Linked DNA regions of Mus musculus. The protein of the gene in region 2 interacts with the protein of the main gene of each other region in a pairwise test. Links are inferred from orthologs where the notes say so. Each region holds a gene or a part of one and is shown on either strand. Other genes may lie near its edges.

What was found.
Region 1: the proteins of Bcl2l2 (region 2) and Bmf interact in binary tests that used the Homo sapiens proteins (3 or more experiments, as listed by UniProt). The two-hybrid records come from large-scale screens. The link is inferred for Mus musculus from reciprocal best matches to the Homo sapiens genes BCL2L2 and BMF.
Region 3: the proteins of Bcl2l2 (region 2) and Kash5 interact in binary tests that used the Homo sapiens proteins (3 or more experiments, as listed by UniProt). The two-hybrid records come from large-scale screens. The link is inferred for Mus musculus from reciprocal best matches to the Homo sapiens genes BCL2L2 and KASH5.

What each region holds. Positions count from the first base shown.
Region 1 is NC_000068.7:118,546,740-118,550,824, forward strand, and holds the start of Bmf (bcl-2-modifying factor), read right to left. Parts: upstream 2,948-4,085; 5' UTR 2,924-2,947; coding exon 2,801-2,923; intron 2,432-2,800; coding exon 2,302-2,431; intron 861-2,301; exon of another isoform or gene 642-860; coding exon of another isoform or gene 632-641; exon of another isoform or gene 555-631; intron 274-554; coding exon 1-273. UniProt on the Homo sapiens protein: May play a role in apoptosis. Isoform 1 seems to be the main initiator.
Region 2 is NC_000080.6:54,882,117-54,886,328, reverse strand, and holds the start of Bcl2l2 (bcl-2-like protein 2), read right to left. Parts: upstream 2,905-4,212; 5' UTR 2,823-2,904; exon of another isoform or gene 2,625-2,822; intron 2,533-2,624; 5' UTR 2,445-2,532; intron 1,979-2,444; exon of another isoform or gene 1,956-1,978; 5' UTR 1,948-1,955; coding exon 1,516-1,947; intron 946-1,515; coding exon 796-945; 3' UTR 1-795. UniProt on the Homo sapiens protein: Promotes cell survival. Blocks dexamethasone-induced apoptosis. Mediates survival of postmitotic Sertoli cells by suppressing death-promoting activity of BAX.
Region 3 is NC_000073.6:45,183,030-45,185,535, forward strand, and holds the end of Kash5 (protein KASH5), read right to left. Parts: intron 2,301-2,506; coding exon 2,249-2,300; intron 1,225-2,248; coding exon 1,160-1,224; intron 1,080-1,159; coding exon 963-1,079; intron 863-962; coding exon 721-862; 3' UTR 647-720; downstream 1-646. UniProt on the Homo sapiens protein: As a component of the LINC (LInker of Nucleoskeleton and Cytoskeleton) complex, involved in the connection between the nuclear lamina and the cytoskeleton.

The DNA.
Region 1 (4,085 bases), on a different chromosome or scaffold from region 2:
CTGTCACCCCACAAGGCAGCATGACACCCTGGCTTGGGGAAGCTGGACTGAGGGTCTGAGTGGCCTTGTCTTCCTGGCTTATGGGCCGGAGTCCGGGACCACAGCAATGGGTGAGAGGGAAGAGCTGGAGTCGACTGAGGGGACAGTCCAGCTGGCTCTGGGCAAACAGGTCAGCAGAGAGCAAGCCCCCAGGCTGTGTCCCTGGCTCCCCATCCTCTGACTGGAACACATCATCTTCTAGCTCCTCCACACACTGAGGTGGCTCCATCTCTCCTGTCAGAGAACAATGGAAGCATCTGGGCTGCTGTCCTACTGAGGCCAGACCTAGGATTCCCCTCCCCTCCTTCCTTCCCCCCTCACCCCCCACCCCTGCTCTTCTTATGTGAGGGAACCAAGCCAACTTCTGATGATACACAACCCTGGTAATAAAACACCACCAAGGGTGACATTCACCCCCAAAATGTGGCCTCTATGGTCAGGGCCCCTCCATGCCTTTTCTCTGTACCTGCCAGAGCCACCCTCCCCCCATCCCCCACCCCACCCCCTCCTCTGACCTAGGCTGGTCACAAAGTTTGACACTGAGGATTTGCGAGCAACAGCAAGGGTAGGATCAGGTGCTACCACCGGGTACCTGGGGACATAGAAGCAAGACTAGCCTCTGTAAGTGGCTGTGGAGGCTCAGAAGGGGACACTTACTGACTATACAAAAGTGCACAACATACTTATGTGCACACACACACACACACACACACACACTTCCTAAGCAGGAACCTCCAGGCTCTCGGCGAAGTCTGAACTCCAGGCTAAGCAGCAAAAACAAGAGCCAGGAATTGTAGAGCAGCCAGGTTCCCTCCTAACGTGCTAAGCCCCACCCTGCTGCACATCTCCACCCCCTCCTTGCACAACACAACAAACAGGCTCTGTGGTGTGGTGAGTGTGTCCTGGAACAGGGGACGTAACTTAGTCACTCCAGCTGGCCAGCTGGCTTAGCTCCCGTCCAGAGGAGCAAAGCTGCCTGCTCACCACAGGTTAATCTGGAGGGTTGAATCGGCCTCTAGCAAAGTGTCCAGCTAATTCTACTCGCTAATCTTCGTGACTTCCAATTCTCATCCACTCAGCCTCCCATTCCTGCCAGAGCTGAACCTGAGATAGGTGCAAAGTGCCTCGCAGAAGGAAGTGAAATTCAGCCCTCCTGCTGAGCGCTCTCTCCCTGCCTACACAGTGGGGCTGTTTCTTAGTGTTAAGTTCCTCTCGCTCCACCTGACAGCTCATGAAATTCTGCACTTGGAGTCACCCGGCAGCTTGAACTTCCAAGCTGACCTCGCCTGAGTTAGGGCCCCTGGGGCAACCAGAAGCATCAACAAGCACCTGAATGGTTAAGGAGATGCAAGGACAAATTTTGTCATCATCAGACTGCTGGGGATTCCAGGGAGTTCCGATCCCCACTTTATTGCCTTTGAAAGACAAGCCAAGTAGTTTGTGGGGCTAAGTCTTTACAGAAATCTCAGTTAGGTTCAGAAACCTTACTTTCCCAAATGCAAGCTCTGTGAGGTTCTTACTTCAACCCTCAAGCCTTACCCCATCCCACCCCTGAGCTATCCGTAGTCCTGTGCCCTCTTCCCTGGAGAATGACTCCATGCCTGCTATTGTTCCGATAGGAAAGGGGTAACTCCAGCGTAAAGTTTCCAGATGAAAGGACCAAGAGATGTCACCTAGCAGTGCTTCTTCTGTCCTTCAACCTCTTCTTTGCAGTGTGGCTATCCCAACCAAAGTAGGGACTCTCCAGAGCCAATCACAAGCAGGAGTCATTGTCTTGGTGTTTCTTTTGAAGCCTATCACTCCCCTCCCCCTCCCAGCAAAGCCCCAAAGTTCAACCCTTGCCTAGACTGGACAGTGGGGGAGGTGCAGCCAGAGGGTGTGGCTCTGAAAACGCGGAGGACCCCCCCCCACTTTGCACAAGAACTGCAGGTGGCTCTCCAGTTAGTGTGAACCTCGGAGGGGCTCTGGGCAAAGTCAAAAGTAAACTGGGGAAGAGTGGAGACCCTCAGCTTCCCTGAGCTAAAGTGGTAAAGTCCAGACTGATAGGAAGAGGGCACTTCCTGAGAGCACCGCCAGGGAATGCTTTATTCCTAGCAAAGGTCTTAAAGTCCGCTGGAGCCATCGCAGAACTTCGGCGATCCAACTAGGATGCTCAATATAAACTCCTCCTCTTAGGAGTTAGCACTAGCCAGATACCTTGAACTCAATAGTGGCTAAGATCTCAGGACACACGCGCACGCACATGCACACACGCACACACACCTGGGTGACTCCAGGACAGCGTCTCAGCCTCCGAGTTGTGATGCCAGGGCTCTGCGCCAGGGTCCAGGGTGAAGAACACTCGGGGGGCTTGGTGCCCACACTCGATTGGGAAGAAGGGGGCAAACTCCAGCTGTTAAGAAGAGGAGCCTTCAGACTCCGCAGGGAGGCAAAATGCACCACAACTTACGGCCCCACCCCACAGTTACACCCGGAGGCCAGAGCGTCCGGGAGCTTGGCAGTGGACCCCAGGATCATTTGCTCACCTACTTTTAACTCCGAATTCCAAATGCTTCCCGAAAGCCCCTCTTGGAGCAGCAACCACAAATTTGTGCTCTGCACCTCGTTCCCACATCCCTGCACCCCAACTCCCCGTGGTCACCCCAGATGCCCGCAGTCCAAACCCTTCCCCGGGCCCCCACGCGCTGCGCGACTCCGCTCCCCACTTCCCGGAGGAGGTACGATCCAACTCCGCCTAGCCCCCCGCCGCCCGGGCGCTCACCGGGCTGCGGTGGGAGGCGGTGGCGCGGGCTGCGGCAGCGACTGCTGCAGGCGCGAGCTGGCGCGGGAGGAGGCCACGGCACACCGCGCGGTATTGTTTCCAAAATACGCCCGCTCCGGGCATCCCGCAAACAGCTGATGAGGCCCCGCCCCTCTTTGCGTCACTCCAACCACTGACCAATGGCAAGTGGAGGTCCAAGTCTCAAGCTGGGCAGCTGCCAGGGACAATCACCAATGTACAAACCTTCCCTTGGAAACATTATAAGGGGCCGGGCGCATTTCTGACCTCCGTCAGAAGCGCAATTGGAGCGCTGTAGAGGGTGAGGATTCGGTTCCTAATGCAAGCCCCAGAAACGACAGAGAGTCCCTAGGTTTTCTACTAGGTAGTGGGGGGACAAGACGCCTAAGTGACTTTTGTCTACTTGGAAATGGGCTGAGTTATTGCAGGACTTCCAAAAAGCCGGCTCAGGAGGAGACTGGGAGTTTTCAGACGCGCCTTGTAATATATAGCGGAAAAAAAAAAAAACCGAGCTGCTGGTCCCTAATAAAAAAAAAGCAAAACAAATAAAAAACCAAAACAAAAAACTGCCCTCTTTCCTGTTGGGCGTGTCTGAGGAAAGCTGGAGGAGAACACGTGTGTCTGCATCTAGAACCAAATGACATTCGGATCCATCAAGTGCAAAGAAAGGCCATGTCCTCTCTTCTAGACTGTGGAAGATCACTGTTGAAAAAAGGACTCTAGCAGAGGGGAAATCAAAGGGGTAGCTCGGACAGCCCTATCTATGGCAGCAGCAGAAGGCTGTTCTTGGACTGCTAAGAAAGCAAAACGCATCTCGTGTACTATGGCCAATCTAGGGATGACTCCACATTTTTTTGAACACCTACTATGTGCCAGGTCCTGGTCTAAGTGCTAGACTTCTGGTGCCTGACCTCAATGAACCGATACTTCACATGTGAATGATGGAAACCAGCTTGAATGGTGCTATTTTAGGGATAATAAGCAAAGATTTTTGAGTCGGGCCTTGAAGAATGGGGAATATTTCACTAAATAAAAACCAAATAAAACAGTCCTGACCCAGAGAGGTCAGGGAGCTAGAATAAAGTACTTAACATGTCTGGAAAGCAAGATCAGCTGCACGCCCCCCCCGTCCCCCCTCCCCCCCATCAAGCTCTCTGGCATCTTCACTATGATTTAGGATGTGAGGGTATGGGCAGGTAGATTCAGGTCAGATTGCAGAGGTGCCCCCTGGAATACCAGGCTGAGGAGTCTGTATTTTTTAAAAGTA
Region 2 (4,212 bases):
GCTTCTACCCACCCAGGCTCCACAGCCTTACCCTTTTTCAGCCCAGGTGCACAGATGCACACAACAGGGGGATGATGAAGAACAAGGCCAGCTGCAGAACTCTTCTCTCCAAAGCCCTGCCAACAACTCTCGGCAGCACCAGAGCCCTAGTCTAGATACAGTGTTCCTCCCTCAGCCTGGAGGCGTAAGGTCAAGGGAAGGGGCAGAGAGGAGAAGGGCAGTGAACTGGCCCTTGTTCTTGCCATAGCAAGAAGGAATGTTTTCTCTAAGTACCCCACCACCAGATTCGACAGACAGCCCAGCATGCACATGAGCATGCTTGCATGTGCACATACATGCACAGGTGTGCCCATGCAGCCCACAGCCACAGCCATTTCACCCAGTCACCTGATCACCAAGCTTCCATCCCAAAGGGAAGTGAATTCTAGGCTCCCTAAATCCCATTCATCTAGTCGAGACACAGATCTTTGAAGTAAGCTCACCGTCCTTGGAGCTACAAGCCATGTTCCGGGTAGTTGTGTGCCCGCGATATGGGCATGATTCCTCCCACCTCCCCACCCCCACCCCCCAAGCCGTGGGATGACTCCACTCTCTGGGTTCTTGGCCTTGAAACATTCCTTAATGTTTCCAACTCATTCTCCCTGCCACCTGCCTGGCATGCTGGGCTCCCACACACACTACCTTCCCCTGCCTTTCTCTGTTCCGTGACCATCCAGTTTCTTCCAAGGGCATTCGCTATTGTTCCAGCTCTCCTGGCCCCTAGCCACACCTAGCCCCACCTGGCCCTAGACTTTCTCACTTGCTAGCAAAAAAGGCCCCTACAGTTACCAGGGCCCCCAGTGCCACGGCCCCCGTCAGCACTGTCCTCACTGATGCCCAGTTCCCCTCCCGCAGACGCCGTGCCTCCTCCAGGGCCCCGTCCCCGTATAGAGCTGTGAACTCCGCCTGTGGGAGAGAAGGGAAGTAGAGAAAGGAGAAAGGGAGATCAGGAAAGGATAGTGGAGAGACGAGGGAAGGAAGAGTTCCAGTTCCATCCACTGTGAGCACTGCCCCCATCCCCAGCTGCTCCAGCCGAAGCTCTACTGCACACAAGCCCCTCCGAACCCCGTTCCTGGCTCCTCTGCACTGTCTACGTGATGTCAGCCCCATCCCTTCCATGGCAATAAAGTTCCGTTCAGAACTGGCATCCTTTGCTAAGGCTTGCCTAGCCATGACCCATCCCTGACCGGCCTCACCACCCATACTATGTACGCAGGGGTCACAATTATTCGCTGAAGGTTCTCTGTTTATAAAACTCTATATTCAGTCTTCTGCTTGGGACCGTGAAGCCCATCCAGCTACTACTACATGGTAGCCCTGGAGTACTGTGAGCTTGATGCTCTCAGTCTGATTCCACTTAAATAAGGGAACTCAGCCCTTCCCAGCACAACCCCAGCCTCCCATCAGAGGCCCTATTTTCCCATGAAGACCAACTTTGTAGAGGGATGCGGAGAGCAGCAATTGAGAACTTCTTACCCAGCCCCCACTGCTGTGGATCCAGTCAGCCAGACGTGTCTCCAGGTAGGCCACCATCCAATCCTGCACTTGTCCCACCAAAGGCTCCATTTCTTTGTTGACACTCTCAGCACACAGGGCAGCCCCAAAGACAAAGAATGCCACAAGACGGCCCCAGTTAGGGCCCCCTTGGAAAAGTTCGTCGGAAACCTGGGTGAAGCGTTGCTGGGCTGAGCCTGGGGTCACGTGTAGCTGAGCGGCCAGGTCAGAGAAGGTGCGGCGGAAACGGGTCTCAAACTCGTCTCCAGCAGCCCGCATGGCTTGGTGCAGCGGGTCGGCGGCTGGGCCTTCCCCAGGGCCAGCTCCACAGACATAACCCTTCTGCCTCAGCTTATAGCCTACAAAGTCAGCCACTAGAGCCCGTGTGTCTGGGGTTGAGGCTGGGGTCGCCATCCGGGCGGCTGAAAGGGGCAAGGATGACAGACTGACATAAATATAAGGAAATTATTGACAGAGAGCAAGAAGGGACATTTCCTATTTGATCAAGCTCCTGAGATAGGTGAAATGCTCAGAGGCACTGGGCAGGGCCAAGAAAGAGCAACGGATTTAAGTCATGGGGAGGTTCAGAGCATAAGCAGCTGGCCACGTATAACATGTCAAATTAAGTGTGCAACAGGAAATCTTATTTTTAGACTACTTCAGATTCCTTTCATACGACAGCACCAGCTGTATGCCACCTCTATACACACACACACACACACACACACACACACACACACACACACACACACACACACCCCTTTTTGGCTATAGGAAGGGGCTTAAGACCTCCCCAGGAGCATGATGCGAAGATGTTGGCAGAGGCACAAGATAGGGAGGAGACAGGGGCTGAATAGGAAGATGGGAAAAGCCAAGGGCTGTAATGGGGCAGAAAGGAAGAGGACACTTACCCAGCCTGGATGGCAGCTCTTAGGACCCAGTGCTGGTGGCAGGGAGCCCCCAGCTGAGGCCTTTCATCCTCCCGGCTAGAGTGGAGCCCTGAAAAGGGGAGGGAGAGAGAACTAGGTGGGAAAGGCCTGGGTCTGGCCCGGAAAGAACTGGAACTGCAGCGCCTGGGACTGGGCCCCTACCTCCAAAGCTTTGCCAGCTGTGGGACCGATTCCGTGTTTAATGACTGCCCTCTTGGGAAACCCGGGACCACGGGCTTCCTGCCGACACCATCTCTATTCCCGGTACCCCCAAGAGCAGCCCAAAGGCCCAGCTCCTCCCATTCCCCCACCCTTAGCTGGTCTCCAACCCCGCCCGCCAGCCAGGTTAAGGAATCTCACGGGTCAGGCCGCAGCCGGGATCCGGAATCCGGTTGTTTCCTGGTGGAGGAGCTGGGAGGGAGGGAGGGAGGGAGGGAGAAAGGGAGGAAGGGAAGGAAGGAAGGAGGGAGGAGGGGAGGGCAGGGAGGGAGGGCCCGGCGCCGGGTGATGATGGGACACAGAGATGCGTCCAGAGAGAGGGGCGGGGCTGGGAGGCAGGGCTGGGAAGAGCCACAACTCCAGGAAGAGAGGGCCATTGAAGGGCTGTTCAGAGGCCATAGTGACCTGTGCCGGCTGCCTGCGAAGCCCGCAGTGTCCCCAGAGAAACACACCGGGCCTCAGCAGCTCAGTGCAAATTCAGCATTTCCGGAAGGTCTCTTCTGTTCACGCACTTGTTGAACTTTCCAGCTTGGATTGCGTGCCTAGGAAAAGCAGAGCAGTTCCTATTAAGCTGGGAACAACCTCTTGCCCTTGTGGGGCTAGTAGAAACACTAAACACAAAAATACTTCCCCTCAGGACCTTTAATGCAGTGGGCTCTTCCTTGGCTGGAGTTTCAGCTAGGTATCAAGGTGTCAGGCCTTGGTTTACAGTGTCCACAAGCAATCTTCATCTTTTGTAATCAGATTGATTTTCTTTTCATTTGTTACCCACCACAGGAGTTAATTCTTACTATTTAAAACAAAAATCAAACAATAAAAGGCACAAATTGATACAAGCTTACTAATCTTACACACCCTCTCTAAATACAGGTTACCAATGTTGGGTTAATACCTGTTTTACAGATTACATATATCTATAATTTACATGTGAATATCTACATTCACATATACATGGATTATATATACATTTATCCATACACATATGTTTATATAAATATGTGCTTTTATATATACACATACAATATAAATATGTTTATAAGTATAAATATATATGTTATATATAATTTATAAATGTATCAATATACATATAAATATAAAGTATATCAGTATAGTATATGTAAATATTTTTATATTTTTATATATTCCATATACATATTTATAATATACACATATATGTATATATAATATACATATATCTATTTATATGTGCATTTATGTATATATATATATGTAAAAATATGTATATATAAAAACCGAGTGTGTGTGTATTTTGAAACATGGTTTCTTCTCTGTGTAGCCCTGGCTGCCCTGGAACTCACTTCTATAGAGCAGGCTGGCCTCGATCTCACAGGGATTGGCCTGCCTCTGCCTCAGACACTATGGGATTAAAGGCCCGAGGCACCACTATCCAGCATGTGATAATATCTTTCTGTAGAGCAAGTTTCCAGGGCAAGAAGCTTTCTGACTACAGCAGATCCACAGGAGGGCACTCATCAGTGTGCTGATCCTCCCACCTCTCCCCCCACCCAGG
Region 3 (2,506 bases), on a different chromosome or scaffold from region 2:
AGAGAACAGCTCCAGAGAATAGTGCATGCATGCGTAGTATGTAGGTGTGTGTGTGTGTGTGTGTGTGTGTGTGTGTGTGTTCTCAGGCTGCACCCATCTTAGTCCAAAGGCTCCAAGAGGCTCCTGGCATTGTAAACCATGGAGCCAGTGTTAAGAAGGGGAAACTGAGTGCAGCCGAGGGTGCAGCAAGGTCCTGGCTTGGAGTGCTTATGATCCAGAGGCCTCACTCAGAGCAGTCTGGCAATTCCAGAGCTCAGAGTCTGCAAGCCAGTGGTCTTGCTTAGCCCCATGTTTCATGAAGTTGCCACTGAGGAGCTGTCAGAGAAGCCTCTGGCTTGCTTGCTCAGACACACTCTGACTGACCAGGCTATGTACTCAGAGCAGAGGAGCCTGCCTGGCCTACCACAAAGAGATACAACTCAGGGACAGCAAGCTCTCTCCAGGCCTGCCCTGTGATGATGCTACAATAGCAGCCTCCAAAGCAGGAGAGAAGGATGGCAAAAACTTAGAGACCTTGGGTTCCCTCTTGACCCAGTGGAGGCCCAGTTGTCCTCCTCCCCCGAACTTGTGTGATGAGGAAATCATCCTGTGAAGTCATTACTATGTGATTTGCTATTGTTAAGAAACAGGAGAGAGCCAGGAGAGGTCATGGTCACATAACACAACTTAGGGATGTGGGTCCCATGCTGACGGAGGAGGTATAGTGGTGGGAAGGGTGCCTCACACTGGTGGCGGCTGTAGGTAGTAGAGCTGCAGGTGAGGCCAGGTGGGTGGCGGGGACTGGCTGAACAGCAGGATGGAGAGCAGCAGCAGCAGCAGCAGGCCCAAGACGGGTGTGGGGACCAGTGGGTGCTGGCTGATTCTGGAGGGGAGGCAGGAGAGGCTGACGGTGGCCCCAGGAAGATGGGTCTCACAAACTCATGGCACCCCCACCCGCACCTGGGGACATTTAAAGGGCACACCTGATCCCTGGGGAGTGCTGGGGATGCAGACAGTGCTGGGTCCGTGACCTCTCAACTGGCACCAGGTCTCTCACCACAGGCATGAGGGCTTGGTGCATCTCTGGTACAATGTGGCAACTGGAAGGCAGAAGGGACAGACATTATTACTAGGCTTGGTCTGTCCTAAGTCCCTTCCCAGTTCCCAAGTGTCTCTTTACCTCTCACGAGAGCTTCCTGGGGCAAGTTTATGGTGATAGGTTCCCAGAGGGCTGGAAGGGTCAGCCTGGGTGAGGAAGGACAGAACACATCCAGTCACTGAATTTGCAGCCCTTAGTCAGCACCCTGGATGCAGACTACACAGGAGGCCATGTGTCCCCGCTGGTCAGGGATGACTACAGCCTTCTGCTCGCCGGGTGAGTGAGTGAATGGGGAGAGCAGGCAGGGCAAGAACAGTGCCTATGACACAGTAGTTAACGAGGGCGAGAGACTCTCAGCCCACACTTCTCTTCCTCCTCCCACCTGATCCTGTTGAGTTTCCACCCCCCAGGGCATTGGTTTACAGGTGCGTGTTCCTATGCCAGGCACACATGCTATGGCTAAGTTGCCTCCCAGTGCCAGCCTGTCACCCCTCCTTCTGTCTCTCTGGAAGGGCCACCTGTCTGCCAGTCAGGGTCTTCCAATGCCCACATTTGCTCCAAATACAATGACCAGCAGTGATAAACCAAGTAGCATGCCACTCCCAACTGCTAGGTCTTGCACCCAACTCTGCCTGGCACTGAACTGAGAACAGAGAGGAGCTGGGTCTCCTCAGTGAGGGGCCTGAGTGTGACAGGGCGGTGAGGACTCCAGTGCCTGTCCTACACTTCTCAGTCGCTGGCCTCGTCGCTCATCAACTTCCTTTACCTCCCCTTGACAAGAGCTGGGCTGAGACCTCTACCTGTCCTGCCACGGACAAGGGTGGAGGAGCCCAGGCCCAGGCAGTCTGGCCAGATCTTTGAGCCCACAAGTTCCTTGTTCAACGAGTGTGGGAGTCTGTGGTGCAATTGGGGTGGAATCTGTGAGATCCCAGGCTCAGAGTGGAAACTGCAGCCTGTCTTTTGTAGCTGGGGTCTTCGGGGAATAGTCTGGCTGCCAATTGCCTTCAGCCTCCCCCTCCCGACCCTGCCTCTCATTAGTTGCAGCGAGGGCCTTGTTATCTCCTGACCAAATGATTTTTCTGTCTGTTCCTGAGGAGCACAAGCTTGAGGGAAGAGCTGGGATTAGGTCCTCAGTTTCTGGGGATAGGACAGGTTCCAGGGATTGCCTACCAGGACCCAGCTCTCCTCTTCTTCTTCCTCCTCTTCCTGGCTTCTGGACAACCTATAGCAAACAAAGTCACTGGACACCCTACCTCCCTGTTCTTTTCCCATTCTCAGAAATTTTTAAAAAGCAAATTTTGGAGTTTGTGATCCCCAAAAGGCTCAGAAGCCCTTGAACCAGGCATTCCTAGTTGTCTCCTTCCAGCAGAACCTAGGTAGAACCAAGGTTCCTACTTTGCCCCCAAATCAGACACCCCAGGGTGTGTG